2 linked regions of the Schizosaccharomyces pombe genome follow. Changing the gene in region 1 together with any one later gene gives a genetic interaction. Each region holds a gene or a part of one and is shown on either strand. Other genes may lie near its edges. The genes, in order: deg1 and san1.

Region 1 (5,940 bases):
TTACAAGTTTTCAATTTTAGATTTAGCATACCTAACTAAGGAAATTTATACCGATCAAACATGCGTCCTCGTCAAAGATTTCGTCGTTTTCATCCTCGTTGGTCAAAAGTTAACCTTCGAGGCTTCGGTGGTGTCGGCGCTTTGAAAGGTGTTAAGGCCCTAAATGGAATGAACGTACGCGTTTCCATGAGATTAAAATGGATCTCAAATCGTATCCATCGCATTCGCAGGAGTCGCCGCTTGGGGCGCCTTTCTATAAGTGTCCGTCCTAATGGTTCCTGGCAGGTATATTTATTAAGCTCTCTTCCATTAAGGAGCCTTTCTCGTGTCTGGGGACAATTTAACAGAGCTCATTTACCTACTTTTTTGCGTACACCCGGATTTAAACTATATGCTTGGGTTTTTGGATGCAATTTAAGCGAATTGAAGGATCCTGATTTGACTCATTACCGTAATTTTCAAGATTTCTTTTGCCGTGAGCTTCGTCCAGAGACTAGACCCGTTGATCCTGTTTCTCCTGTCGTATCACCGGTAGATGGCCGTATCGTTTGTCAGGGAGTTGTCGATAATAATCGAATTCAGCATGTCAAAGGTCTTTCTTACTCTCTTGAAGCTCTTTTAGGAGGTATATCAAGTTCGAATCCTTTAGTCGTCAACTTTGAGGATGAAATAACTCCTGATCTTATTCAAAAGCACGAGCAATTTGCTGAACAACACTCAATTTCCTTAAATTCTAATAACCGCTATCGTAAAGCTGATGCTTCAGCTGCCGTTGTGGATGAACATTCTGACGAGGAAGCACTTCTTTGTGCTTTTACTGACCATCCGCATTTTTATCTTAATGACTCTCGTAATTCCTTAAATTATTTCTGTCCCTTTTCTGCCTTTGAAGATATTTCAAATTCCGTTCGTAGCTCATGCGGAAAACGACTCTCTCCCTCAAGCAATTTCGATCTGAATAACCTTGGAGGTGACGATGACTTGAGGAGTGAGTCATCTAGTGATTTTGAATCTGCTCCTGCTTCAATTCTTGAACACGAACCAACTAACTGGGATGATTGGGTACAAGAAGCTGACGTTACGGACATTGACTCATTACCTTGGCACAATATCCGTCCTGGCAATAAGCTGTTTTACTCTGTGATTTACTTAGCACCAGGTGACTATCATAGATTTCACTCTCCTGCTGATTGGGTTATTGAATCTAGGCGTCACTTTTCAGGTGAACTCTTTAGTGTTTCTCCATTTTTGGCGCGAAGACTACACAACCTTTTTGTGTTGAATGAACGCGTAGCATTATTGGGTCGTTACGAACATGGATTTATGAGTATGATTCCTGTAGGTGCAACCAATGTGGGTAGCATTGTCATTAATTGTGATCCTACTTTATCTACCAATCGCCTCGTCTTACGGAAGAAGTCATTAGGTACGTTTCAAGAAGCAGTTTACAAGAACGCTTCTCCTGTTTTAGACGGTATGCCAGTTAGTCGTGGCGAACAAGTTGGTGGGTTTCAACTCGGAAGTACCGTTGTTTTGGTATTCGAAGCACCTGCCGACTTTGAGTTTTCCACTTATCAAGGCCAATATGTTCGTGTTGGAGAGGCCCTCTAAACAGGATAAATCGGGATAATTTTTATTAATCGCTGGATTATCCCTGATATAAGTTATTGTTAGTATGAGAATGTGTGTATTCTAAATAATCATTTGTATGTGATGAATTAATTAAATTAACCCATTTGCTTTTGATCTTCTTTTTATTTAAATTGATATTGCGTTTATAAACCCATAATTATAGTTACTATTTACTTAATTACATTCCAATTTAAAGAATTGACACCCAATAAATTTATTTTATTGATACACCTTTAAAGTAGTAATGAAAATGTTTAAAAATAAGTATGGTTAGCTTGTTTTGACATAAGGTGGCATGTCTTCTTTTCAAAATTCGTAATTGATAATCATTACATATATACTAATATTTTGTTTATTCACAATCCAAAATTTGGACCTTAAAATTCATTAATAGATTGCTTTTAGATTAGAATATGAAATTGGAAGATGGTAGACGACTTAACGGACAAGAATTACTCTTTGGAAACATTTTGGACATTATAATAAAGGGCTCTGAATCCAAATACTTCTTGATTTGCGTGATAAACTTCATGAAGGTTTGAATCATCAACAGACCAGCCTAAGCTGGCAAATTTATTAACAGTTGGCAATAACAAGGGCTCAATTGAATCTTTCAAAACATTATTAAGAACTTCCAAATCTTTGGTTGTTCTTTGAGATGAAGGACTTGTGAGCCATACAGAGCAACGAGTCGATACCAAATCGTGAAGTGTCGGAATCCACGATGAAGAATAAAGTGGATGACTTATAAGAGGCATCGGAAGAAAAAAAGTATCATAGTAGGGGTCAAAAGGCTCAAAGGCTCCAACTCTATGCAAATTGTGGTAGTAATCCTGATGAAAATGAAGGCTGAGTGGGGAAGGCAAATTGGGTTGCTTAGAAGGAACAACAACTTCAGGTCCGATAAAATGCAATTGAAATAAACGACCTGGGAACAAAAAGTTCAATCCTTGTAACCAAATTGATGGTGGTAATGAACATTCTTTGGTAGCACCCAAAACGAAAATTCTAGTGGGTCTGGGATCAGTAGATTGAGCAGACAAAGGACGATGAAGCATATATCGTAGAGCAGTTAATGATTGTAGACCCTGGGGAGTTAACCCATTTTTTAAATTATAAGGAGAATTCTTGTGAAGGATAGCGCCGATTGACATGGGATATGTTAATAAACTAGTAATATGTCTAGCAGTTCTAGACGATTGGAACTTTGGGAAATCGCGGGTATAGAAGAATGAATCCCATGACAGAAGAGAAACTACTTCATCTTCTTCCATGGGTCCAGGAAGTTTGAGTAGTTCCGGCAAAGGGTTTGGTCGTGCTAAGTCATGATAGTCTTCATTAATTTGGCGTAGTTTTGGGATAAGGGATTGGTGAATCTTGTCCTGTTCCCAATGAGTTCTATTACAATGAGTAGGAAATCCAGATTCAGGACACTCATATTCCACTGACTTTCCCGAAATTGGACACCGATAGACTTGTTTGATATGCTCAGAGCGACGGCGAAGAGCCGTTAAGGGAGAACGCGATAAAGGATGGAATAATTCATGAGTTGGGGATTTCTTCTTGAAGAGATTTTTTAAAAACGACATAAGTAAAAAAAATATAAGCGAAACGTCACTCTTGAACCAAAAAACAACCTTCTACCGGTTTCAATGTAACTATAGGTAATGAAATAAATTTTTATGTCGGTGTTGCAGCTAAATTTAACAAGTATTGATTTAGGTGAACGTGTTTAGTAGCAGACGAAGAAACTAAAATTAAAAATGTCAAGGAACATAAAAAATACGTTAACAAGGCAAACTATTGAAATGCTTAGTAAAAAAAATTAACAAATTAGTTCGTAGAAGCAATTGCTTTGTTCATTAGCAACCGACATTCAGTAGCGAATTTTATTCTTTAAAAAAATATTAAGTATTGAGTTGACTCAACAAAGAGGTGATTTTCAATAATGTTGATATTAAAGAACTATCTAGTAAATCAATTGCATAACGGGAAATGCACTTTCTTTATTGGAAGTCTACAATGCAACTATAAGGAATACGAATCATCTCGAAAGTAGCTGTGTTAATCTAAGCTTCTATAATTTTCATTGCTCGTAATGTAAAGTGAACTCAATATTTTAGTAACAGTTCCAGCTGGCCCAACAAGACTGCAAACTGACCATACAGAATCCCAAAGCTGTTGTACTAATGAGCAACTAAAAATATATCTGATAAATTCTCAATGTTACATAGATGATTTATAACTTTACTGCGAAAATGTCTGCCTCTTATGACAAGCAAGTCATTAATTATCAGAGCCTTGCGAACCTATTCGTCTGCCACCTGACCTCGTCAAAGGCAGTAATTAAATTGGCAATATAATTCAGGCAAGATTTTTCAATTTTCTAAAATCCTTCGAATGCCCGCCTCCAAATATGCTGGATGGTCTCGAGACCAGCTAATATCCAGAATTTTAGAATTGGACGGGAAATTGCAAAAAAATACAAATTCACTTCCCAATAAAGAAATTGAGGGGAAAAATGAAGTAATTAAAAATAAAAACAAATTGGATAATGGAAATGAAATAGAACCCCAGCATCTGAGCCAAGAACTAGTTTTGCAACATGCGCTTCAGGACGCAAGTAGTCTTCCAAAACTGAAACCTGTCAGACCGTTTCAACTAGAAAAAACAGTTTTTGTTGCTTTTAAATTTGCCTATTGTGGTTGGAATTACAATGGTCTTGCCTACCAGTTAGAACCGACTCCTTTGCCCACTGTTGAAGGAAAGGTGTTTGAAGCGCTGTTGAGAGCTCATCTCATCACTGATCCTTCATCATGTTCCTTTAGTCGATGTGGACGTACTGATAAGGGAGTTTCAGCCATGGGTCAGGTTATATCATTAAATGTACGACATTCAGAAAGAAGACCTATCATATATTGTGATGTATTGAATCGCCTGTTGCCCGCAGATATACGTATTACTGGCTATGCATTTCCACCAGAAGGCTTTGATGCTCGATTTTCCTGTAAACAGCGTCATTATAAATACTTGTTTACTAAGGATTATCCCGGTGGTTCTCTTGACATTGATCGAATGAATGAAGCCGCAGCACTTTATCTAGGTGAGCATGACTTTCGAAATTTTTGCAAAATAGATGCTTCTAAACAAATTACAAATTATCACCGTCGAATTCTCAGTTCAAAGGTTATTTGCATTGATCCCAGTACCGGTCTTTACGCTTTTGACCTACAAGGAACTGCATTTTTATGGCATCAGGTACGATGTATGATGGCCATTCTATTTTTAATTGGTCAAAAGCTTGAGCCGGCCTCTCTCATCAATGATCTTTTGGATATTAAAAAGGTCCCTACTAAGCCAATTTATGATATGGCAAGTGAGTATCCTTTGATTTTGTACGACTGTGACTTTGATAATATTGAATGGACACTACCTACGGATAGTCCTACGACTGCTCCTCGTATCGCTAAACATACATATGAAACCATATATCATCAGTGGCATAGTCTACGTATTCGAGAGCAGATAGCTTCGTTTATGCTTGACATAGCAGATCATAATGTAAAAAGATATGGCAAATCGGAAGAGTCAAGCAGTACTATGAACGTTGGTGAAGGATTGCTGAAGCGAACAAAAAAGTACATCCCAATTCTTTCTAGACAACGTCAGGAATCAGTGGAGGTCGTCAATGAAAGATATAAACGTAAAAAAGGTTTAAAAGACAGTGACGTGAAGAGTGAAAATATTAAATAGATTGTCTTATGACAGAACAGGTTTTAGGTTAATTGCTAATTTTATTTTGGTCCAAAATATATTATCAATTTTAGTATAACCTTCTTAAATAATTAGTTGTAAGTAAGACTTATGATGTACTAAAATTATTTTGCTTTAAAAAGGTATTCCTTGTGTATGTAAGGGACAAGGGTTTCCGGAACTTTAACAGTGCCATCCTCTTGTTGGTGATTTTCAAGGATAGCTATTATTAACCTAGGGATGGCAGCTGCTGTGCCGTTCAGTGTGTGAACAAAACCCGAGTCTTTGTCATTTCGATATCGTGTGAGTAGACGCCTAGCTTGGTATTCAAGACAATTAGATGCTGAAGTTATCTCCCCGTATGATTGTCGCGCTGGCATCCACGCTTCGATGTCATATTTTTGAGAGGCCGAAGATCCCAATTCCGCAGTTGGCATATTCAAAATTCTATATTCGTTAGCATTAGATCATTAAAGTGGTATTTTTGTTAGATTTGATATGTACCTTGCGGGTATTTTTAAAGTTTCTACAAACTCTTTTTGAAAATTAACAATC
Region 2 (18,585 bases), on another chromosome or scaffold:
TATTGTGAGGGAAATTTTGCTTATTGAGAGGTGGTTGAAGTTGCACTGGTATCCTGGAAAACTTTTTAATGCTTGAAATGGGGTAATAATTAAACTGGTCTTCTACAATGGAACCAGGATTGCGTACAGGGCCAATTCGAGAGCTCACAAACTCAAGATGTTTTCGAGCTTTTTGGATGAGAACATGATCGATATCCAATCCCAAAACAAATGATGCACCAAATATTGAGGCAATTTGAGCAGACACTGTCCCATTATTGCATCCTATATCTAAAACTGAAGCCTCATAAAAAAGGGAATCAGGCAAACATTTAAGTCTTGGATCGATAATTGAGGTTCCTCCCCTCATGCTGTAATAACTGTGATAATTTCCATGTTGAAAATTCGACATCCCAAGTCGAGGAGGTTTTTCAAATCACCCCTATTTTTTATAAAAGTATAAATTTTGCAATGGAATTTAAACGAAAACTTACGAATCGAACTATTTAAACAAAAGCGAGAAGTTTCAATTTGTTGTTGTTACTAATACATTAACGATGTTTACATATCTTGAAACTCAACGTCCGACTCGTAAAAACTAGTCTTAAAGCATCCAACAATTTAGAAAGGATCGCTAGCGGTAAAAAAAATAATATCAAAAATATATATATATATATATTATCCTTTTAGCAATTCTTCGAAAGTTATTTTACTTTTGTATGTACCTCGATTTCAACGTCTTTTTGCAAACTTATCTTCGAAGGTGTTTTTCCCTTTATGACTAAAAATTTATTGCTTACGTAGACAGGTTAAGATAGTTTAAAAAATGTTTAGTATATGCAAAATATATTTCATTCTAATTACAAGAACGATTAGGTGGGCTTTTTCTTTGAACAAGATTCCTTCATGTAAAATAGCAAGATGAGAATAGTTTTACACTTTATAAGTCAATTCAATCTAAACTCAATCAAAATCATCATCCAAATCGTCATTAACGGAAGAATCTCGTTTACCTAACTCATCTTCTGCATTTTGTGGATCCTTCAAAGCTGCAATATCACTGTCCTTTAAGGCACCGGCTCTAACCAATGCTTCAGCTACATCAACTACACTAGTGTTCATTCCTCCTAAAGTAGCTAAGGTTAGAATTTGTTGTTGTAAGTCTCCATGACCGTATATCAAAAGAGTTGGCATCATCGCTTCAGGATAATTTTCGACTGCTTGTTTTCCGGGAATTTTTACAAATTTAATTTGGGGATACATTGGTGCTAGTCTCTCTAAGATAGCAGCTAATAATTTACAGGCCGGTAGTCTTGAATTGTAGTGTGTTAGTATTGACCCATTGAAAATGCAAACAAATGAAGAACAAACGTACGAGTCTTGGAACATATGCACAACGACAAACACTTCCTTGCTTGCATCTGTGACTTCAGCTGTATATTCTGGTTTCGAAATAGGATATACTGAGCCAAATTTTGCTTTTGACATTTGATCCTTCCACTCCTGCATCCGCTTGTTTCTGTACATTTGTAAAAACTCATCATCTTCTTCGTCCTCAAGCTCTGCTAACTCATCTAGATCCTTGTTTTCCAACCGATTCTCGTGGGCAAGCTGCTTTGCATCGACCAACGCATCGTCTAAAACATCATCCACATCAGGTTCTTTTTCGGGTAAAATTCCCTTCGAACGTAAAATATCATTCCTGATTTGTTAACTTCTATTGTTACAACTATTCATCCTCCATACCATTCGGTATCTTCGTCAGGATTCATTTGGATATATTCCTTTTATTAATCCCGTTGCAAAGTGATGTGTGTATTTACCTATTATAGGAACGATTAACTAAACATGTTGCTTCAGTATTGTAGTATAACGAAGCATACTTAAATACGGTATTATCGATATCGATGGTACCGTAGGTTCGTTTGACTAGGTTGTAAACGCTTTGGGTACGTTGAATGTATCCAAAGCACGCGATTGTACAATATGGTAAAATCTACCACAGTTACTAGACTTGATGGTATGTATACCTACAAAGTGGGATTAGTTAATTTTCTGTTGCTGAAACCATAAAGACTGGTCTTCGTTGAGTAAAATGAGAGTTGTATGTTAAAATTATTTCGTGATTGCCTCAATTCTCAATTCTCATTTTTGCTTTTTTTTGCTTTCTATTTAACTAATACCCGTTCAAATGAAAATTACTTATAAATACTAACTGATGAATTTAAGGTCTTCCGCTTGCCGCTAGCGTGGATGATGAATCAACAGAAAGAAATTTGGAAAGCCATAAGAAACAAGCCAAATTGATCCTTAAAAGACTAAGTCCTACATCGGAAAAAAGGGCTTCTATTGAGTCTGGTGATTATACATTTCAGTAAGTTTAATTGTGTATACGAATAGCAAACGGAATCTCAATTTTAGATCTAACCAAACGTCTAGTTATCTCATCGACAACGGAATATGTTATTTATGTATTTGCGAACAGTCGTATCCTCGAAAATTAGCGTTTTCGTATCTGGAAGAACTTGCAGGCGAGTTTTGGAATAGTTTCGGCGAAGAAGCATTACAACCTGGATTACGTCCTTATGCATTTGTTCAATTTGGTATGCCTTTATTTATTGACTTAACTTATTTTTTTTGCGATTGAAATAACTAACAATTTCTAGACACCTTTATGCAAAAATCAAAAAGAGTTTATAATACCCCGCGTGCCAATGATAACCTTGATAAACTCAACACTGAGCTGAAAGATGTAACCCGTGTCATGACCAAGAATATTGAAGATTTACTGTATCGAGGTGATTCCTTAGAAAAAATGGCGGATCTCAGTTCAGATTTGCGTTACTCTAGTGCCAAGTACAAAAAAGCGGCTCGTCGCGTTAACTTGGAAGCACTTTGGAGGCAGTACGGCCCTGTTTCGATTATTGCCCTTTTGTTTCTGATTTTTGTCTATTGGCGTTTTTTCGCTTGATTCACGATTCTATTTACGGACGTTTAAGTTTAGGAATAAGAAATCTTTAATGACCTTTTCTTCAATATTTACAAACCAGAAACGAAATTCAATAATGGATCCCATAATTAGACATAGAAACAAAAAGTTTGCCCATCATTTGTTTTGTTTATTGTAGTAATTATTTTACCTTATTCATCTTTGCTGACATTTGTGCAACCTGCTTTGATTCACATCTGCTCTATCTATCTTGAGTCTGTTTGAACATAGCTAAATATTGTATAAACATATATGTATAGTTGAAGTGTTTGTTTTCCATCCCTTGTGCATCCTTTCCCATAACTAAGCTGGTTTATCGAATCGCACCGCTATGCCGTGTAGAGGAGAGTGTCTGAATGGCTATGGAAATATTCTAATAAACCCTCCTTAGCTTTTTATTTTTATTACTGTTTTAATTATAGCTCTATAAACGAATAAAATCAAGGTGTTGTTACCGCTATACATTATTTTTTATATTATTTCAGCCACCATACCCCAGTTTTTAAGTTTGTTTTGACGTTGTAAGCCAGCACTCAACTATTATATATAATGAACGCCTTGCTTTTCATCAACTTCTAGCAGTAATTATTGTCTCTCTTTTAACGTCGTATTCTAATTAATTCCCATTGAATCCTCGTGTACATTTATTATTCTATTTGTTAATTACGATTTTCGTGAGCAACTCCTTTTTTTGTAATTGCACAATTATTGTTAATGAAAAAAATTGTGCTATAATATAATGACAGAAAACGAAACACTTCAAAAATCCTCATGGAAACGACATTTTACATCCACCTTTCCAAATCGGGTTAAGAAAATATTCAAAATAAAACACTCTTCGTAAGTACTTAGAATCAAATTTTATTACTTTTTCTTTTCTTCCTTTATTCCCTTTGTCTTATTAGTATGTATGTTGGACATTAAAAGTTGCTGACTCCTTTCTTTAGATCGATACCTATCGTTCGTGTACAACCGCCCACACCCAGGAATTCTGCTCTCTTTACTACAGCCGATTTCATCTCATATACAACTGTATACAAAGTTTAGCATGCCATACATTAACTGAAAGACCCGACATGTAAAAGACTTTCATTCTTCCTAAATAACGAAAATTCCTAACATACTTTGTAAATCACCAGCATTGTTTACAACAACTTGCATAATTCCTTAATACTGATTGGTAGGGTAATGGCTTAAACCCGGATGATTCTCGATATTCCACATTAACGACTTTAGGGATTCAATAAATTACTTTGGTAAATGAAATGCCTGTGTTCGTAATACGGCTTATTGTAAGAGTAGCTGACATGTATTTATTAAATACCAGAATCTTGTATACAATTGCCAATTACCTATTCGTCTTGCTGAAAAGTAGTATACAAGAGGCTGGTATTGTAAGGGGGTTGCTTTATCTTGTTATTTAGATTGCCGATTTAAGTGTCACGCTCATAGACTACTAAAGCACATGGTCACAGCTTTTGTTTTCTTTCAAAATTTGTAAGCTGTGTGTTTAGTGATTTATGCCTACTTAAATTAATAATCCAGCGTTATATTTTTTTGGATTTAAGTGTTTTTTTGGTGTTTTACTGCTTTTCAAATTATGGCTGAATCTGGCGCTGGTTATCGAGTAGGTATGTGTTAATATGACACGTATATTTACGAGCATTTCAATGGATTCGCTTTAATAATTTATACATTAAATCCAATTTCTAACGATTGCAGAACTTGCAAAAACTGGCAGAGCAGAATGCAAAGGAACGGTTTGCGGAAGGTATATATAGCTATTTACCAGAATTTATGTAGTTGTCCAAATCATTATGCACAGCATTCGAAAAATAAAAGGAACTATCATCAGTTAACCATTTTTAGATCGAAAATAGGGAAAGGAGATCTAAGGTTTGGAACATTTGTCGATGTTGGTAAATTCCAAAGCTGGAAATGGAGGCATTGGGGATGTGTTACGGAACGTGTTCTTCGCAATGTAAACAAAAAATTTGAAGGAGATATTAAGAATTGTTTGGATGGATTTAATGAATTGAACGATCCTATAGTTCAAGAAAAAATCCTTCGCGCTTTTGAGCAAGGTCATGTTGATGAAGAAGATGAAGAACGATGCAGAAAAATGGCTTCCGACGCTTCTGAAGAAAAAGACAGGAAGATTGAAGAAGGAGAACTTACTTCTGAAGAGGAGAAAGAGCCCATACAAGATTTGAGAAAATCTCATAAGAGAAAAAGTGTTGAAAAGTCATCGGTCCCTAACAAAAAACATAAAGCCGAAAGGAAGCGATCTCCATCTCCAAAAATTGAAATACTTGAAGATGATGAGGAGATAGAAGATGTTGCATCTGACAAAGACGAGGAAGAAAAACCATGGTCTGGCGATGAAGAAGACGATGATGAGTTAGTCGTTAAGGATAGTGAAGATGAAACAGAAGGAGTCTCCACTATTGCTTCCCAGCGACCTAGGCGGTCTGCAAGGTATGTGAAATTATATGGCAGCACTACTAATACAAGTAAAAGGCGAAAAGTGGATTACGCAGAAAGCGGAAATGAATATTCTGACAGTGATTAAAAACATGCTTTCAATCATTTCTGCTTTATTCTTGTTTTTTTTTAACACTTCAGCAGAATCTTTATCTACATGGAATTTCCTTCGATCCTAATTAAATTGTATACTTTTATGAAATAATAAAGTCCATGTCATTTTCATTATTTTACAAATTAAACTCTATCGCCTTGGTGCAACTTTAAAAATACTCAGAATCACAACTCCGTTAATATAATTTCTAATCCTCTTATCAATTCGCACTTATTAAAGAAGTTGTTGAAATAGTGAATTATCTTACCACACAAGGTATTGATTCCATACGGCTAGACACTGTATATCATTTGTACGAATTATCTAGAGTTAACTTTAAAAAATACCCTATAACAAAAAAAGATAAAACTTCGATACATCGATTTTTTCAGAAAGAGCAGCTTTCATTGTTCGTGTTGGTATCACAAAGTACCTCAGCACACCACCCAACATTGCAGCCTGCAGTTCATAAACATCGCCAGTTGTCTTCTCATAGCTGTAAATTGTTCCTAGGAAGTTTCAAACTTAAAAAGTTTGTTTGTTCATATTTAAAATCCAATTTATACCCCTAAATATAAAAAAACTACAGAGTTCAACCTAAATTAAATAGGTTCGAATTCTGACAACCAGTGTTCACAAACATGTATGATGATATTTTCTTTTATTTAGCTTTATGGGTTATACAAAGCGTTTATGGTGCCTGGGATTGGGCAAAAAATTGGGTTTTTTGGACATGCAGTTATTTACTGAATTTTTTGTATCATCACCATTGTAGTAGAGATCTTATAAGACGCGATACGAAAAAATTAAAGAAGAAACCAAAACACATCGCCGTTATTATTGAGTGTGTAGAAGATGGAGGTATAGAGGGCCTTATTCATGATGCTTGTGAATTATCTGCTTGGTGTGTTTGTTCTAATATTCGCGAACTTACGATTTATGAACGTAAAGGTATATAATTGCAGTTGAAGTTTTGAAATTCCATTACTATTTGATTACATTTATTAACAGATTTTAGGGTTTTTAAAGCAATCTCCCGAAGCTGTTGAAAAAGCTATTTACTCTCACCTGCCATTCTATCTTGGAGGTGACAAGTGTACCGTCCATGTAACTAATCCTTGCTCTCCTGATGAAAAAAATCAAAATGACTGTGTCGATTTAAAGGTTCATCTTATAGCGAAAGAAGATGGTCGAGATGCTATCATCGATTTAACTAGAGGTTTAGCGGATTTATGTACTAAAAAAGTTATCAGTAGCACCCAAGTTACACTGGAATTGATTGATAAAGAATTGAAGGAGAGCGTAATACCTGAACCAGACTTACTAATCATATTTGCTCCTCTGCTTAAGTTGCAAGGATTTCCACCTTGGCAGCTTAGATTATGTGAAATATTTCATGATCCTATTTTATATACAACAAATTACCTAACATTCTTTAAAGCACTTGTTCATTACTCGAATGCAGAAATGCGGTTAGGGCACTGAGGTTTTATAAATTTAAATATGAAAAGCCAAAAGCTACCAAAAATTTATCAAGTTGTCTTCTTGAGGTTTTTGTTACTTCTTGTCTAAAATGCTTTTTGGATTTTGTTAATAAAATTAGGAATTCAGTATTACAGAAAAATTTAATTTACTTCAAATGCTTAGATGATAGGCATTAACAAAATTAAACAGACAGGCAGTCAGATTCATACTTTGGATATTATATGCATTACAGTTTTAAAAAAATTTAATAAACATTTTCGTTAGAAGAATATTATAAAACTTAAATTAACAACTAAACATTCACTTTCGAATACGATCTTTTAGAAAACCAGGCTTGCTACACAATAAGAATCTTCGTTAAGGTTCCTTATTCGCATACTGTCAAACCCCTGCTGAGATGTTCACCTCTTTGGATCGAAACCTTTACGTTGATAACCATATCACGTTGACGAAAATGGACTATCAAAATACGGAGACAATTGCCGAGCAGGAAAGGAATGCTAGTAGGCTACCGCAGATGTTTCAAATGTCTTCGCATCCTGTAGCTCTTTTCTTCTTTCTTTTATTTCGTACCGGTGCAATTGTGGCATACATATTGGGCATGTTCTTTACCTCAAGTTTGTAAGTTTTTAATAGCAGAAATTTAAAAGAAAAAGAAATTGAGCTAAACAAATAAAAATAGTATGTTGTTGTTTATTGTAATTTTCACTTTGCTAGCTGTTGATCTTTGGACTGTTAAAAACGTCTCTGGTCGTTTACTAGTTGGTTTGAGATGGAGAAATGAAACTGGAGTTGATGGTGAAAGCATTTGGATTTTCGAATCGGCAGATCCCAGTCGTCCCAGAAACGCCGTTGATCAGAAGACGTTTTGGTACGCTCTCTATCTATATCCATTTATTTGGATCATATTGGGGATTGTAGCTATAATTCGATTTGAATTTCTCTGGCTTGCACTCGTTGCTGTCGCAATTGGACTGACAAGTGTTAACACCGCTGCTTACAGTCGTTGTGACAAAGACGCGAAGCGTCGTTGGGCTACAGAACTTGCAGATTCCAATTCTTCTGGATTTGTTTCCAGATTTTTATCTAGGGCTTTTATCAAGAGATTTATTGGTTAAAGCTCTTTCAAATTCTGTAAATAATTTTTCGAACTACATTGCATTTTAAGCTCATTGTATATGAAAAAGCTAATTTCATGGGATTCTGGCTTAACGATTTGCTTGTTAATTAAATTGACGAAAGCGCTGGAACGATATTGTGTTTTTACTTCCCAACTTTGAAATGACAGAGCGTCAATTTGAATCCTTAAGCATCAACTGATTACGTATTTTTATAATACAAAAGCCAAAAGACTGTATGACGGATCCTGTATTTTAGTATGAGTTTATATAACCTCCCATACTGTTACTTTCAAGCATATATCTTCTTTTCTGATTGAATATTTGAATAGAGCCCAATGGTTATTTTTAGGTGCACATTACGTTCTTTTATTCATACATTCTTTTATGGTTAATACTATCACACAAAGTTTCATGAAGGCCAACTGAGATCTTTTGAAACCCACTACATTTATTTTTCCATTGATAACATTCTTAGTTAGACTTCAAATATTTACGCATGGAGTGCTTAATAAGATACCGATGAACGAAACTTCAAAGTTTGGTGCTACTTTTTATTTCGACAACTATGTTCCTGCGTGTGTTTGCTGTGAACTTAAAATTTAATACTTTCTTATTAGTGATGAACATATATTGAAACGAAGTTCTTATAACAGCATAATAAAAGCGGAAAGAATATGTAATTGTTAGTTTCTAATATACATATTTTAAATGGCAAAATATGTATTTAGATGATTCCTTTACTAAAGAGCATATCATTTTTTTAGTACATATATAAAGCATTAGCTTAAATGTCAATTATAAATTCAAGGATATGCGGTTTCTTACACGATTCGCAGAATTTCGGTTTTCATATGCTTTATGTCAACAAACCTCCCAACTATCAAATAAGGAGAACCTTTTATAACTCCTTAAAAATATTAAGGTATTGAATGTCCTAATGAACGCCCACATGTTCACTGTCTCTATTGGCAATATATAATGGAAGTCCCTGGTTTTCTATTTTGTTCAACACCACATTTTGCACCTTAAAAGATAGTTTAAGTGGAAAGGTGCACTTTATAACATTCTATAACGTCTTTTATTTTCTATTTACTTTTTTTTTTGCTTGCCTAAATAAATATTGAAATATTCAGTGGCCAGAAAACCCCGATGGAGAATGTTACATTTTCCTTACCATTAAATTTTTGATTCCTGTTTTTTTATTACCGCAGCAATCATATTTTACCATATTCCTCCTTTGTATATAATAAGTCTCCTACAAATATTTCCTTTGTCTTATTTGTTGTTTTTATTTTGAGTACTGCTTTATTTATTTAGATTCGACTTTATTGTGGTCGTTTTATTTCTTTTTTTTGGTTTTATTATTAGACCACTGAGGTACTAGTTTTTTGTATAGAATCTCCTGTTACAATTATCTGTTTTAAATGGATTCCAATACAAATGAGAATAATTCTCATGCATCATCAAACGAGAGACAATCATCTGAAGGGCATGATGACTATTTGAATCGTAATCCAAACAGTGAAGCAACTGAGGGTGAAGAAGGTACCCACCCTACCACGGGGACTCAACCAGTTGCTTTTTCAATTGGTACAATGTTTATCATAACTCCTCAAGCCAATTTCGAGGGTGGAGAAAATGATCCGTTTGCCAATCCCTTTCAACCACCCGTAAAACGCGCTGTAAAAGAAGCCTGGGATTCTTTCGAACCTTTGTCTAATGACCAACTGATGGATTTGACTTGTCCGATCTGTTACGATGATATGAATGAAAATGATGAAAAGCAGGCTACCAAGATGCCATGTGGCCACATATTCGGTAAAAATTGTTTACAAAAATGGCTTGAAAATCATTGTACATGTCCTCTTTGTAGAAAAGAGGTTCCCCACGAAACAGTAGGTTCAGCTCATCCTCCTATTTTATTTATCATTCCACACTCACATACGCTTCGTGGCAACCAAGGCAACACCGCGGTTTCTCAAGAAAATGCATCAAATGGTGTTCATTCCGACTTTCATCCATCTGAGGAGCTTAACAATGCAAACACTGATGGTCGAACCGGCGTAGACGAACCAGCTCGGCAACTGCATCGCATTGCTTTTAACCGAATACGTTTTATTCTAGCTCCAAATCGATCTGCCACCAATACCCCTGTTGAAAATACTCACCCTGAAAACCCTGACTCAAACACCTCAACACCTACTACTCGTAGTGAGCCCTTAGCAGGAGAAGGTGCCTCTATTGATGCCGAAAATGCTAGCTCTAGACAAGAGACTACTCCTTCGGATTCTCGTCCTTCGACGCTTACGTCCTTATTTAATGCTTTCTTTTCATCTATGCCTGATCGCCCTTCCTCTAATGAACCTATGACTTCGAATCTTACCTCTAATTCTGGTAGTATGACGAATAGTACTTCCACAGACTTGCCAACTAGTAACTTGCCCTCTCAAAATGCTCCAGCTAGACCAGTTGAGCCGTCACCTTCAATACAGCCTCCCAATTTGCTAAATCTTCCAACGGCTTCGCCTGAATCAACTTCATGGCTTCCTGGAAGCCAAACAAATATCCCTGCAAATACGAATCGATCTGAAAGGCCTTTTACACAGTTAATGACGTTCCATGGTCTTCCTTCATTAGCCGATTTACCAGCTGTTCTTGAGTCTATGTTCCGTCCTAGCGGTAATAATAACCTGCTTAATTTAAATGGAATTTTCCATCCCGATCACAATGCGCAGACTGAAAACGGTCAAACGTTGCCAGAGAATACTGACGACACCAACAGCAACGCTACGTCCGCAGTTCCCAATCTACAGAATTTAAATCAGCAAAATGCTGTAACTATGGGTACAAATACACCAAATAATGGTTCCTCCCCTGCTGTTCATCCAGTAATTCATATATACTTGTCGAGACCGCCTTTACAACCTGCAGTTAGCGAACAGGAAACTCCTTCTGAAGCGGTTTCAAGGGAAGGTACTAGAAGTACAGATGCTACGATGGAAGATTCAAGTAGACCTCCAAGCAATGGCTCTTTCCAAGGTCCTGGTATTACCCATCTCAGTGAAATGGGGCAGCGCATTTTGCAAAGGTTTCAGGAAGAAATGGAGAATCGAATGAATCAAACTAGAAGTGAATCGAGCACCCCTGCTCAGCAATCAGCTGCTGGAAGCAGCATTAATGTTGACACTGCCGGGCGACAACCTTCCGATGAGATAAATATTCCTGGCGAATACGAAAACTCGAGTGAAGTTGCAGGATCACGAAATCAAACTCCTACCCATTCTTCCATTGCTGTAGACACCTTGAGTAATGTTGCGGTAGACCAGCCTGCGATATCCACTCCGTCGGACGTTGTTGGTAGTGATGCCGGTGATACTAGCAAGGTTTCGTCGGGAACTAGCACTCCTCGAATGGCTGCTCCGATTGCTAGACGATCAAATCGGCATCATCCGTATAGCAGACCTAGCTCAACGCGTCCTCAGTGTCAGCTTGAGGATCAAGGCATTTGTGATCCTAATGATAGATTTGTGCACTTCGAATGCGGTCATTCAGTACATGAAAGATGCCAGCAATCTACTAGCAACTCCGAAAATCAAATGGACGAAGAAATTGGAGAATGCCCAAAATGTCGTAATGAAGAGCATAAGTAATGTTTGTGTTTTTTTACTCTTTTGTTATCTTTATCATGAAAAATATAGTTGTTTGTTTATTATGCCTTTTTAAATCTTCAATACAAATTTGGTGATGTCCCTTTAGAGTATCAATATTTCATGCTATATAGATTTTTATTGTTTTTGTATTATTTATATCTCAATACTTATCATCTATATTATTTGCTCTCCTATAAACTAAATGATTATTTGACTATTACAAAAAATCTCATTATTTTTTTCAACGTTCATTAATAGTTTTGTTTGGTACCAAGGAATTTATTATTATAAGATTAAATGACTCAATGAGTTAAAGAATTAAAATATGAAAGATAGCGGATGTTGTAAAGGTCTCCTAAATTCTAAAATGCCACCCAACATGGGATCGTCTACACCAATAAATAAACTGTCGCCAGAAGATGAGTAAGCGGTTCCGGCGATTTCTCCAAAAAAGTCAATAACTTGGGATGTATTAAATAATTTAGTATCAAAAAGTTGAACAAAATCGGCTTGTTCCGTGACAGCTAAGCTTTCACCTAATGGAGAAAAGCACAAATTCGTCACAGCACTCATTTGGCTACCTAGATTTCGAAACGACTTACCAAGGGCACGTATGTCCCAAACTTTAGCCGTTGTATCTTGTCCTCCAGTAGCCAAAATATTTCCATTTGGATGCCACGAACCAGTAAGTACAGAGTCGGAATGGGGAAGTTTGGCTGAAACGGAATTTGATCTAATATCTATTAACATGGCGTCTTTCGAATCCGTGCATACAAGCGCTAATGGAGTTTCATCAAAAAGTTGGACGCAGTTAACAGCATTTGAACACCTGTAAACAAGAATGGGGCTAGTACGCTGGACATCTTCCACATAAACAGCACCATCATTACAGCCAAGGATGAATTTTTTTTCGGAAAAAAGTTGAATATGATTAATCGAATCATCTGAAAGCTTACGAGTACTAAAACTTCCGTTTTTAAAATTGAAAATACAATATTGTCCATACAATGTTCCCAGACATCCTACGGCATTTGTAGTATCCAAACATGATATCGCTTTTTTCTGAAGGATATTATTCTTAAGGTCAATGATTTGAACAGAATTATCATGCAATGTGTTTTCCATTCTGATGCTGTTATTGCTCACATAAATGACAGAATGCTCACCAACCACCTTTACGCTTTTGCAAAGATGGTGATGATTCCGCAAGCAATTAGGATTTTTCAAAAATCTTTGAAATTCATAAAACGAGTCTTCAGCGGCGACTTGTACAGTATCTAGCGATAGCTCTTCGGGTGACCAGTCTGAATGATTGCAAGACAGGCTATAAGTGTGTAATCGATAAAGACGAAAGTTTTTCCGTTTACCAATTGCTTTATTTCCCCAGGGAATTCCTTGAAAATCCACTGTCCCACAATTATCGGTGCTTTTTGGGTTCAATTCAAAATTTGATGCAGTGGGGAATCCATAGTGGTCTAACTGAATTAAATTCCGGTTTCCTGTATACCAAGAAGTGTAAAAATAATCATCTAGATAATCTTGAAGTATAGCTCCACTTTCAGCTAGTTTTAGCATTAGCTTTCAGAGCAACCAACGGACTGCACGTTTAATTTACTTACGAAGCAAATACTGGTCTATAAATTCTCCATTGGACATATAGAAATATTTAATTTAAAATAAATATTATCTGTATGGCTGTAGAACAAAAAGGAAATCAAATAAAAAATTAGAGAAGGACAAGATCGCCTCATGGAAGAAATGAGAGAAGGACAATCGACGTTGCAAGGACCAATTGACTCTTTCGCTAACGATTTTCGGCAATTAATCTTAAAGATTTTATACGTATGAACCTAAGTGAAAACAAAATAAGCATAAAGAGGTCTTTAGCTCAAAGGTATAAAATTATCATAAACAGAGGCGTAACCAAAATTGCAAAGCCAATTTCGTTTGTCAATGGACGAAAACCTCCAATTGATCTTTCTAAGTTTTAAAAATCACCAATGTTGATCGTTTTGAATTTAAACAAATATACATACTTAAAGAGGTACGGCCAAAACATTAACCATTATGCTGAAGCATCACTGAAAAGAAAAGCTCGCTAATTATTTTGGATTTATTTAAGGTTTTTTGAAGAGAATGAAATCCTTCAGAATATAGAGAACGAAGTTGATTCACGAAGCCGAAGGTGGACGTCTCCATTGAGTAATATGTACGAGAAACACTTGCAATCTAAATCTACATTGCAACTCTATCAATTTCCAAAACGATCCTGATTTAGGGTAGATGTCTTGGTTTGCTATCGGCTGGGCTCGTTTCTCTATAGGATTTTACTTTTCTGGTTTTACCATTCTATATAAAATTAAGACTAGGATGTTAACAGACTTAATTTAATCCATACGATTAGTCTTTAAGTAATGTTACCTCAAATTAAAAGCATTCCATTCAAAATTTATATTATTGTTGCTTATTGTAAAACTAACACCCAAGAATTCGCATTTAAATTGGTCCCTTTTGGAAAAAGGATAAATAGTTTTTCATAAATCAAAAGCTTTTTGAAGCAATTACAAAGATTGCCCTCCCACAGGTCGGTAATCGTAATTTGAAATTACAGAAGAACGTTTTACTATAACCTTTTTAAATATATAAAAAAAAGCAAATAAAGTAATTCTAATAAACAATATTATGCCTACGAGCACACTAGACGAAAACAGCAGTTTCTGTCCGACCACTGTATTTGAGGTCGAAGGGTTTTACGTTAGTTCGGTACTACAGAGCTTCTTTTCCTATTAATTTCCTATCTCATAGTGACAACTATAATTTTCACTGTACTTTGTGGATTTGAAGGTTCATTGTCATCAATATTTGTCAAATCACGTTTATAGCCAACACAACACCATTAGTATCAAAAGTGGGATTTTGCAAAGCGAACAAAAAGAGCAAGATTTACAATTTTCAAAAAAAAAGTGAGAAACTCGCATTTTTGGCTAGAGTTTATTAGTGGCCTAGTATATTCACGCGTCTGTAATGTTTCAAATGGATAATAATTCATCTATAAACCAAAATCAAATCAAAACGTAAAGCAACTCCAACACAAATATTAGCATATTCTCTAAATTGATGTTTAAACAATCAATCAATATAGGACTTCTGTCTACAAATATAGTAATATATTTTGCAAGCAAAAATGCTCCAATATTGACAAAAGCATAAAGGCACAAACTCCTCCTTTCGAATGAACTTAGCAATCATTATTGAGTTGACATTATTCTTCCATCTGAGCTTAAAAGTACGCATCACTGGCCAAATCAGTCATTAGTGTAGAATGCGTAGGCTTCCAACCTAAACGTTGCTGCGTAAGAATACTTGAAGTTGGATTATCAACAGACAAAAAGCTGGAAAGAAATCCAAAATGTTCGGTGGCTTCTTCAGAAGATACGGAGATGACAGGTATATCAAGTCGTTTGCCAATCATGCCTGCGATTTCTTTGATCGGAATACCTTCTTCGGCAACAGCATGATAAATGGAACCAGCAGTTTCTTTTTCTAGAGCTAATACAAACAAATTAGCAGCATCAGTTCTATGAACGGCAGGCCAACAATTCATACCATTACCGATATAAGCAGAAACACCTTTATTTTTGGCCACGTTAATGAGCATGGGCACAAATGCGTGATCTCCTGCTCCATGAACGGTAGGTGGAAGGCGAAGGATTGAAGCACGTACTCCTTGAGATGCAAATTTAAGAGTTGTCACCTCTCCTAATTGGCGTGGAATTGGTGGTTGGGGAACTTCACTTATCTCGGTGCCTAACTTACCGTTGGAAGAAAGCACAGCGGTTACAGAAGTGGTAATCAAAGGACGCTCAGTTCCTCTAAGGACTTCGCCGATAGCTTCAATGACACGAGCGTCAAGCTTACAGGCCTCTTGATATATACTAAAGTCGTGAACGAAAGCCGTGTGAATAACGCCATCACATTGCGCTACTCCTTTTTTCAGTGTATCCAAATCTTCAAGTGTACCAATGTAAGGTGTGCCTCCAGCAGCTCTGAGTTTTGCCGCGTTTTCTTCTGAGCGCACCAGACCAACCACTTCATGTCCGGCTTCAAGAAGCTGTCTCACTATTTCAGAGCCAATAAACCCAGCTGCACCAGTTACAAATATACGCATAATTGCTTAAGAAGATACTGTTCTCGGATCACCTCCTTATGTACGAATACATACTCATTGGTATAAAGTAAATTAAACGATATATAAAGACCACAGGTAAGCGATCATGACGTAAAAGAGCGACAGTTTATTCTTCCTATATGACTAAGCTTGTTAATCAGTAACGAACAAATGGAGGATTTAAAAAAGATGCAAGCATATATTAATTAACAAAAAGAAGTGAGCATGCAGAATACTGGATTCCTTAGGTCTCCAACCATAGTATTTATGAGGCCTTGGAGCATTTAGCTGCAAATGATCGAACAGGAACTGGTGTTTCCTCGCCTAGGACGTTATGAAAAAACCTATTGTTGACGATCGGTCATTTATATTCTATTTTATTTAATCGTATAAGGTGATCATTGGAAGAAATATATGTTGTCTCACGTTTTAGCATATTACGATCTGTAATCCTTAGTAACATGGACCTGTAATAGACGGCCTCGTTCTTTCTATACTCTTCTTTGGTTTTACTGTCAGGGTCTCTTTGCTCTTTGCGATGAATACAAAGAGTACGAATCCGCTAAGAATTATAACGAACGGTGAGAATACTCGATAAAATCAGATGTGTTTGCTGGTCATTTCCACGGTCTATCTAGCACAATGAGTGCTGCTGGATTTGCTCGATATAGACTCATCCGGCGCTTGGCGATCTATGGGTATGGATGATTTTCTGTTGCCTGAAAGCCGACTGGCTGATCGCGCTAAATTTCCTGCATGAGATTTCCAGTAATATGACTATTTACTGCTAAAATTAAGTGTGCTATAATGTTTTCGTTACTTATCTCAAGCTATACATCAAGTGGGAGGTATAAGCTCTTCTGTTATATATACGTTACCATTAAAAACAGTGTTTTGGCCAGCTTTCACCAAGCGCAAAAAACATACATGTTAACGAAACAATTCAATTGTTTTTTTTTTAAACTCTATGGTTCATGAACAAATCTTGCAATCATTGATAACCTTACTGATGCTACAGAAAAACTAAATCTCGGCGAAACAATTTTTTACATTATTCAAATGACATCGTAGTAATCGTTAATTCCTTCAATAATTAAACAAGATAACTCAACACACACTATAGTTACGGAATAATAAATAGATTTTGCTAACTTAGGTGCTGTAACATTACTTTCAGTTTGCCTTGTCAACAAGTTTAAATAGCAAATTAAAAGAAACTAGTTTGTTTGAAACTATAAAACCTTTTAGCTTAAAAACGAAATGAAAAATTTTCCTAATTTTATCAATAAAGTAGTTTTTATTTTATTAAGTATTGTTAGTGAAATACAATTGCGATGCATGTCAAGAAGCTCTTAATTCACTATACATGTTTTAAAGTCGCAATACCTTTTAAAGTTAACAATAACTGTTGGAAAAATCATTCCGTTCTTTTCTATTTTATTTACGTTGTGTAATATTAACATCTAAGGGTTTTGCTTTGTGAAATCAAGTGTCATTCTAGTGTTTCCCTCTACCTCCATTTAACTGCAGACGTCCTAAAGAGTTGGTGGACTCAATTCATGGCTTGATGACTACAGACGTTAAAGAAAAAGCTACATTTAAGTTGTTAGATTTAATAGACAGTGTATGTGGATTTGAAAAGTGACATGCTAATGATAATGTGTTAAAGGTTACTGGGAAAAAAAGTTTGCTCTTGGAACGTGATCTGTCAGGAATTTTAGGTCAAATAGTTACTACCAATACTTTACAAGAACATGGAATACCTCAGGTTTATTGGTTTAATGAAAATATTCCAAATGATATTGAGAAAAAGACAATCTACTTGTGCAGACCAACTTATGAAAATGCCAAACTAGTTGCTACTCATGTTCGTCAATTTCAAAGGGATATGTTACGCATTGAGAGCACAGTAATTGTTTTGCCTACCTCAAATATCCTCTTTGAGACGGTACTGCAAGAGGAGGGTGTGTTTGGAGAATTACTTGTGACTGAATGGCCGTTACATGCCGTACCCTTGGACAAGGACCTTTTGTCATTAGAACTTGGTCCAGAGAAATTGGAAGAAAGCTTACTTCAACGAAGTACAGATGCTTTAATTGATTTTGAACGCACTCATGGACGGTTTCCTCGAGTCTCTGGGAGGGGCCCCTATGCTGCAAAAATGTTGGAATTATTAGAAAAAACATACCAGGAAGAAGCAACAATAAACTTTGGGAAGGTGGAAGGAGAGATTTCTGCTCTCTACGATAGCGTTCTTTTAGTTGATCGATCATTAGATCGTATTACACCGTTTTTGACTCAACTTACCTACTTTGGATTTTTGGACGAAATACTTGGAATTCAGCAAAGTATGATTCATATTTGTTTATTATTTATCTAACTGATTAGTGAATGTCAAACTTCCTTCATCCTTGGTTAACCGAAATGAAGCTTCAAATACTGGACCGATGAAAAAGTTTTCTTTAAGTTCTTCTTCCAGCCAAATTACCAAGGAAATTAGAGACATAAATTTTAATTGCATAGGCCCTTATTTAAGCAAAATTGCTCGAAAACTATCCAGCGATTTTGAAGGTCGACGTCAAGCCAAAACTGTAAATCAGATTAGAGACTTCGTT

The links.
Region 2: mutations in deg1 (region 1) and san1 together harm fitness more than expected from each alone (negative genetic interaction), as found in Schizosaccharomyces pombe (one large-scale study listed by BioGRID).

Annotation. Positions count from the first base shown.
Region 1 is NC_003424.3:4,158,768-4,164,707, forward strand, and holds deg1 (tRNA-pseudouridine synthase), read left to right. Parts: upstream 1-3,951; 5' UTR 3,952-4,032; coding exon 4,033-5,385; 3' UTR 5,386-5,440; downstream 5,441-5,940. Other genes in the region: phosphatidylserine decarboxylase Psd2, read left to right, coding at 61-1,611; splicing suppressor Mss51, read right to left, coding at 2,085-3,221; dia4 (serine--tRNA (Ser) ligase), read right to left, coding at 5,511-5,832, 5,890-5,940.
Region 2 is NC_003423.3:2,946,033-2,964,617, reverse strand, and holds san1 (RING finger protein), read left to right. Parts: upstream 1-9,159; 5' UTR 9,160-9,576; coding exon 9,577-11,802; 3' UTR 11,803-12,023; downstream 12,024-18,585. Other genes in the region: bmc1 (Bin3 family regulator), read right to left, coding at 1-391; plp2 (phosducin family protein), read right to left, coding at 943-1,291, 1,355-1,681, 1,726-1,751; SNARE protein Sec22, read left to right, coding at 1,966-1,999, 2,209-2,353, 2,419-2,582, 2,646-2,950; SPOM_SPBC2A9.14 (uncharacterized protein), read left to right, coding at 3,708-3,808, 3,916-4,015; SPOM_SPBC2A9.13 (uncharacterized protein), read right to left, coding at 3,889-3,998, 4,093-4,129; hpz1 (zf-PARP type zinc finger protein Hpz1, implicated in DNA repair), read left to right, coding at 4,569-4,599, 4,691-4,739, 4,838-5,446, 5,489-5,540; nus1 (ditrans,polycis-decaprenylcistransferase), read left to right, coding at 6,188-6,497, 6,565-7,031; putative transport protein Tvp23, read left to right, coding at 7,486-7,652, 7,714-8,149; SPOM_SPBC2A9.03 (WD repeat-containing protein), read right to left, coding at 12,121-13,364, 13,422-13,458; SPOM_SPBC2A9.02 (NAD-dependent epimerase/dehydratase family protein), read right to left, coding at 15,083-15,970; and 1 more.